2 linked regions of the Saccharomyces cerevisiae S288C genome follow. Changing the gene in region 2 together with the main gene of any one other region gives a genetic interaction. Each region holds a gene or a part of one and is shown on either strand. Other genes may lie near its edges. The genes, in order: DPC29 and DSE4.

Region 1 (3,703 bases), on a different chromosome or scaffold from region 2:
AGTAAGTTAAAAGTGGAAACGAAGATCGAACCAACCCGAAATGAACTAGAAGTGTTTAAACAAATTTCGGAAGCAATGGAGGATTATATCCCAATTATCTCCTCGGAATATATCCTTATTATGCCTTGGTCTTCCAATATGGACCGAAGAGTACTTACAGTAAATAGCAGTATCCTTCGTTTTTCATCTACACTTTTCTACCTAAAATTGATCTTCCCGAAGAAGAAAAACTAAAAACTTCGATTTGATGACTGTCAAGACCCCAAGAAAGAGGGAAAAAAAAAAATGATATCTCATGCAACAACAAGTAATTAAGTGCTCCTTGTTCATGGAAGACACAACAGGCACCACTAATAACCTGAATGAGGCACCTTCGACTTTCGAGATGAGCCCTTAGTTCATCCTGGTGTTGTGTTTGAGAGGGGGAGAGCACATCATTGTACTTCCAGATCCCCCTAGCCATGATCTAATATTACCGCTGAGTAAAAATAGATCTCGGCTGCGTCTCCGTCTCCGCCCGCCTTCCGTCGGTTACTTCGTCGGTTCTTGCTCGACCCCCGCCAGTCCGCAGACAACAGTCCGCAGCAGGCAAGTGCTGGTGTCCGCTTGGTGTTTTTACGTACGATTGTCTTTGTTGTTGTTTTTACTCTTTATTACAGTTATTACTACTGTTTGTTTAGTATATACAGGTATTTGTGGTATTGATTATTTATTTACGGTTTGGTTGGATTAAGCGTTGCTAGCGTTAGTGTACAACGACGTCACTTCGTCGATGTCCTCGAGCGCTGTGGTCAGTTTCTGTAGTTTCTCGAGCGTTTCATCGCCTTGCACGAAAACTTCCATATCCGGCTTGGCATTGTAGCCGATGCCCAAGTCTCTGATGTGGAAACCACGCTCCTTCAGTAGGGCGGCCACCTTATTGGTATCGGCAGGTTCCATCACCGCCTCGTAAGTTTGGCCTGTAGTTTCAGTTTCGGTATCACACTCTAAATCTTCTGCGTCTTCCTGCACAGGCGCAATGTCTTCGATGCCTTGAATCTCCAGTACGCTTTCTAGCACCTTGTCCTCAGTGTCTAACATCTTCGGAGGTACCATTGTAACGTATCCTTTTTTGTCGAAGAAAAACAACGTTGGAGTCATCGATCCATTAGCTTTATTAAATGCACTCCTTATCAGACCTATGGTCCTGTTCTTGTTGTCTGTCAGCGCTTCCACCACTATAGCGACCCCGCCGGGCCCCATTCCCTCGTATACACATAGCTCAGAAGCGTTTGAGTCCTTGCCCGATGCGCTGCTTCCAGAAGCTTTCCGGATGGCGTTCTCAATAACTTTTTTGCTGACATTGTTTTTATTTGCTAGCTCGATGCTGGTGGCTAATCTTATATTCATGCTCGGATCCGTAATACCGTTGCCTAACTTGACTGACATTGCTATCTGGTTTGCAAACTTGTTATTAATTTTGTTTCGTTCCGCATCATTCTTGGCTTTACCGTGCTTGATGGTTGACCATTTGTTGTGACCTGAACGTACCGAGGAATTCAGCACACTAAACGATCGAGAGTTTTTGAGCAGTTCACCCAGATACCTATTTCTTACCAACATTTTCCAATTTTTGATGCGTTCATACCAAGTTTGCTGTTTTTCTTAGTTATTATCATCATCTTTCCCCTTATTGCTGCTGAAACTTGCGTACGTGCGTACTAAAAAAATTTCACTGCGCTTACGCCGGTAAAGGGAAGTAGGAAAACGAAAGAAAAAAAAAAAATAAAGGCGAACGATAACAGGAAAACCAACGTGAATTGCAAGCACTACATTTATTATATCGAGTTGACAAAGAATTAAGAAAATAGAGCACTACATTTCTATATTCATAGCTAGTCTCACTGACGCATAGTAACTAAATCATGGCTGAGAAACGTACTCTTATAGCTGTGATAGCTGACGAAGATACTACAACTGGTTTATTGTTAGCCGGGATTGGACAAATCACTCCTGAAACCCAAGAAAAGAACTTTTTTGTTTACCAAGAAGGTAAGACTACTAAGGAGGAAATCACTGACAAGTTTAATCACTTTACTGAAGAGAGAGACGATATTGCCATCCTTCTAATCAACCAACATATCGCGGAAAACATAAGAGCTAGAGTGGACTCCTTCACCAATGCGTTCCCTGCTATTTTAGAAATTCCATCTAAAGATCATCCCTACGACCCTGAAAAGGACTCTGTATTGAAGAGAGTCAGAAAGTTGTTCGGTGAGTAAGCGAACGATCTTTCCCAAAACAAACACAATTACTGGTAGATTACTAGTAGCAGGCGGAGGTGGAGGGCGGGAGCCACTGTTATTGCGTTTGTATAATATATACACTCATAAATGATATATTTAAGGTTCAGATAAAAACAACTTTTTTTTTTTTAGCACGTCTTTACTGCAGTCACCAAACCCATTTTTTTTTTCCTATTGTGAATACCCGCCCATATTTTTCACACACAACTGATGAGTAATATAAAACTTTTCTTTAAAATTATAACAAGATACACATATATAAAGACCAAAAAAGGGAACGTGACACGGCCTCGCTAATATACAATCATAATTCATTAACTGATTTGGCTAATGCTTCAATAAAGATATCAGCATGCTTCTCCTCGAATGTTAATGAAGGTCTTAATCTCACTGCATGGACTGCACATCCACCAACGTTGCAACCATTCAACTTCAATTTCTTCAATAGTAAGTCTCTCTTCTCACCAGTAGGCAAATCCCAGGCAATGAATGTGCCTCTTCCTTTACCTCTCAAGTTTTGAAAGTTTTCAGGGTATTTCTTCTGCAAACCCTCCAATTTCTTGAACAAATAATCACCTACTCTTGAACATTGTTCAGTCAACTTCTTGTCGGAGATTTCCTGTCCAATGGCACCTGCAATGATCATTCTTGCAGGTTCACCACACCATGTGTTGAATTGTCTGTATGGTTTGTTTGGAATGAATTTAGGGTCGTGGAAGAAATATCCTGCACTTTGGAATTTCTTGGAAAAGGTCACTAAATCCACAGGTGGTTGAATATCGGCGTACTCATGACACCATAGCTTACCGGTGGCTCCGACACCTGTTTGCACTTCATCTATGATGTAGACAACGTTATACTTCAAGGTAATGTCTCTTAGCTTTTGTAAGAAATACTTAGAAGCGTGGTTATCACCTCCCTCAGATTGAATTGGTTCGATGATTAAGGCAGCAACTGGAATAGACCAGGTTTTGATTAATTCTTCAACAATGGCCAAGCAATGGTCATCCTCTTTACGGTTTGCATCAGAATTTTCATCTAATGGGTATTGGTAAGATGGATACTCAGCATGAGGCCAGTGGAAGGCTGGGAAATCCAACTTGTGAATTGGTTTAGAACAAGTTGTGGAACCGGAGGCAAACAATCTACCGTGGAACGCTCTCTTGAACGATAGTACGGCAAGATGAGGGGCGCCAGGGGCGTCATTGTCCATGACAGACAAGTTTTCCTTTTCAGAAAAATCGGCATCATAGCCCCTTTGTTTGGCACGGTAATAAATAAAGGCAGCCTTGAACGCTAATTCATTGGCATCTGCACCGGAAAGCCCTGACCAGACGTGATCTTGACCCTTTGGCGCAGATTTCAATATTTGCTTCAATATCTTGTCTAAATCCTTAGATGGGAAGTTACCTAAGGCA
Region 2 (3,930 bases):
GGCAACTTCAGCTAATAATTGCAATTGTTCTTTAGAATACTCTAAAAGGTTTGAGCCAAGTTGAGAAGACCATGGTAACCAAGATATTTGTCTGTTTAGAGATGTGGAAAATTGTAGGCTCGTTGTTAGATAACCGTTCATTACACCCTTAGTTGTAGAAGCGAGTTGAATGCCGGTATAGTAGTCTTGCATTATATCACTAAATGAAGATTCATGATGGGGCAAGGCAAAAATCATTGTGCTACCTGATGCCGACTCACCTTGGGTGGTATAAGAAAATTCATAGGTAGCTGTAGAACCGTCAGAGACACCCTGCAGCTTGAAATTAGTAACGTACATACCTGCGGCTTGATCATAAAAGACCTCGTAATCAGTTTCAGAAGGTGCGACGGCCAATTGAATGATAAGACCATCAACACTAGCGCTTGCTTTAATTTCATATTCTGAGCTCACCTCCAATGAAAAGTCCGTTGAGGTTAAATCGTCTGGTCCTATCACGTAACATAACCAAGTGACTCCATTCAAAAGGGTGATACGATATTTGAGAATACCCTGAGCTAAATTGCTTGATGATTCAGAAACAATGGTATTGAATCCGACGCTGGAACCAATCTTGGCATTTAAAGATCCATGATATATACCAGTTGCAAATCCCATACCTTGAACCAAAGGTATTTCCAGGTAGTTCGAAGAATCATTGGATTCTGATAGCACTACCCTTGTTGAAGACAAGGTCATTTCATCAACTTGCATAGTCATACTTGAATCAAAATTCGAAGCTGAGAAAACAACATGAGCAATTCCCAAAGGATTGACCAAATATTCTGCATTACCGGAACTGTCATAACCACCGTAGCTATATTGATCTACTGTTGTATGTTGAACAGCAAAACCATATGAACTCGAGGTGTACTTCCACAATGAATAAGGATACACAAAGGCAGGTGATTCCTGACTACCAACAATCAAATTTGTATAAAACTTGTTTGTTTGAATGGGACCATCGTTTGACACCCCATCAGCCAATGACATAGGATTTGGTGATCTGTCAAAAACAGTTGGTGGTTCATCTGTCGAAACAGCATTGAAAAGATTGACAATGGTCGTTGTTGAAGAGTTCTCCGTTGTGGTAGCGGTGCTACTGGTCGAGGTTGACAGAGAAGAGGAGGAAGTTTTTGTTTGTCTCGAAGATGAGGACGAAGAGATGGTAGCTTGCATTGAAGAAGATACATAAATGGTATCTAATGTCGAAGAAACCGGAGAGGAAGAAGAATCTACTGTTGAAAATAGTGATGACAAAAGAATGTTTCCTGTTGAACTCGATGGATAAACTGGACTAACAGTCGATGATAGTGATGGTGATGGTGAAGAACCGTTTTCTGTAATGTTTGAAGGGTAAATTGGACTAGTTGTCGAATATAGTGATACAGATGGAGAAAGAGTGATTTGTGTCCTATTAGATGGGTAAGCAGGGCTTGCTGTTGTAGATGCGAGCGTCTGGACTAAATCCTGGGTTGAGTTGGATGGATAGAACAAAGTCGAGGAAGCAGGAGTTGAAGCAATGAAGGAATCTTCGCCGGTAGCTGTAGCTGCATTTGTCCTTACTGAAATAGTATATATCGTTTTATTCGAGGTCAATGAAGAAGGAATAATTTTTGTTTCTTGGGAAGAATAGGAAGGCATTTGAGTTACCAGTGGATCGATTGTACCTTTTGAAACAGAAGTCAATAAAGTTCCATTTAATTGTGTCCCCGAAATAGATAAAGATGAAGAAAATAAAGTCGAAGTCGAAGTCGAAGCAGTTTGAGATAATAATGTGGTGACTTTACGCATTGTTGATGCACTTGGCATGACTGAGGCGACGCCGGAAACCGAACTCAAATTGTGTACTGAACTTTTGCTTTTCGAATTATCATTTGCGTAAATATTTGAAACAGTGACAGGATCATTATTGGTTTGTGCGCTTATTTTTTGAGATACTTGGCTTGCGTAGTTTGATAACGACAATGACAGTTGAACTGCTGTTCTTGTATTAGAATCACTGTCTTGTGAATTAATTGGAGATGCGCTCACTCTATTTTTTGGCGAAACTGAGAGAGGGCTATGAGAAGCTGCAGATACTCTTGTTACAACCACCGATTGTGCAACATAAGGCTCACCTACTGTCAAAGTAGCGTAAGATAAAGTTTCAATTAAATCAGTTTCCAATATTTCGTCTGCATTATTCGATATGAAACTTATATATGAACATTCGACGAAACTTAATAGAAAAAGAAGTGTCAGATATAATTGCATACTAGCTGTTTTTTTGTTTTCTTTTCTGTATGCAGACCGTTACTATGGTTATCTACTTGTTGAAACAAGCACAAGAAACATACTTGATATTCATTTTTGAAACAAATTGCACCAAGTATTTATATGTAGTCCTTTACCCTCGCTTGTAGTCTTCGTATGGTGTATATGCTTTGCTACTCTTTTCATACCCAGCTCTTATTTTTAACTTTTTGGGTTCAGCTTTATGATTAACTAGTTTTTCCTTGGTAACCAAATTGGGAGATTTCGTGCCTTTTCTGCTGGCTTTCATAACAAAATATAGCCGAAAAGAGCTTAGCGCAGCTGAACTCGGTAACAAGGTTCAGGTAAAAAGGGGAGAAAAAAAGAAAAGAAAGCCAGATCTTTCAAAAATATGCCAGCAAATACCAAATTGGTCATAAAATAGCTAGCACTCCGCTATCGAGCAAGTTCTCTTGGCAAGCAGGCTTATTCTATTCTTTTGCTGAAGGAAAGGCCAGTTCTATGCTTATAACCTTAAGTAGGAAACATATGCGCAGCTTACAGCGCATAAAATTGATGGCAACCCATTTAGTGGTACTATTCCTGCGTTATTACTAGTATGGTCGCTTTAAAGAGTGGTAAGATTTCACATTTTCAAATCTAAAAAGCAAAGTTTATCACTTGAAATGTACCTCTCTGTGGGCTTTCACTACCTTGTACATTTTCTTAGCAGTTCCGTACATTTTTTTAAACAATGAAAATTCAAAGTTCTATGTATAGAGATTATTTAGGTTTTTAGTACTTAAAGTATTTTGAGAATACCTTGGCAAACGCAGAACAATCGTAAAAGAGATTGCTACTGCGCACTGTTTCCTTGCTTTATCACTTTCAGTTCTGCAAGAACTAAGGTGTTTATCAGTAATGATACTGTAATATCAATAGCGATAAAAACTTCGTCAGTGAAACCATTCTTTTTAACAGCCATCTATCAAATAAAAGAGTTTTTAACTTGAACTGGGATATCAATTTCAGCAGATCCAACACCTTTATCAAAATGAAGTTTTACGCGGAGGAAATATGACCTCGAGCATAAACAACTTTCAAAACTTGGCACTATGGTAGCTTTAAAATCATCATTATATTTTATATTCAATAACAGTGTTCTCTTATACTCAGTTGAACTGACCTGATTCCATTCATTTGATTTCCGATGTGAAAGTACCGAATGGTGATAGTTTGATGGGGAGGTTTTTTTATTCCTAGAAGTTCGAGGAATTATGCTGGATATAGGAGAAGAAGCAACAGGCACACTTTTCTCTCCAACCAACTTCGTTTTCAACGCATTTTTCATGACAACAACATTGGCTTCCATATTGGCTAAAACCTGTACGTCCTTAATTATACTCGAAGGCATTAAATCAGAAAAATCGAGCGATCTATTACGCAGGCTAGCTCTTGCGTCATCGGCAAGAAGTAAGTTTATTTTTGTTTGATTTTTAGTGAACTCATCGCGATATGCTTCAATGTTTTCCAAAATTTCCTTAAATATTTTCTTAATTTCATTGTATTTGTGCTTCTTTAAAAGTAAATCACTGTGGAACCTCACTGGTTTGCAATCTTTTGTGTTCGTTGTTAAGCAAATCAATTCCGTCTCCA

The links.
Region 1: mutations in DSE4 (region 2) and DPC29 together harm fitness more than expected from each alone (negative genetic interaction), as found in Saccharomyces cerevisiae (2 studies listed by BioGRID).

The regions. Positions count from the first base shown.
Region 1 is NC_001139.9:525,531-529,233, reverse strand, and holds DPC29 (post-initiation translation factor DPC29), read right to left. Parts: upstream 1,603-3,703; coding exon 730-1,602; downstream 1-729. Other genes in the region: VMA7 (H(+)-transporting V1 sector ATPase subunit F), read left to right, coding at 1,905-2,261; UGA1 (4-aminobutyrate transaminase), read right to left, coding at 2,590-3,703.
Region 2 is NC_001146.8:756,805-760,734, forward strand, and holds the start of DSE4 (endo-1,3(4)-beta-glucanase), read right to left. Parts: upstream 2,296-3,930; coding exon 1-2,295. Other genes in the region: YNR068C (uncharacterized protein), read right to left, coding at 3,263-3,930.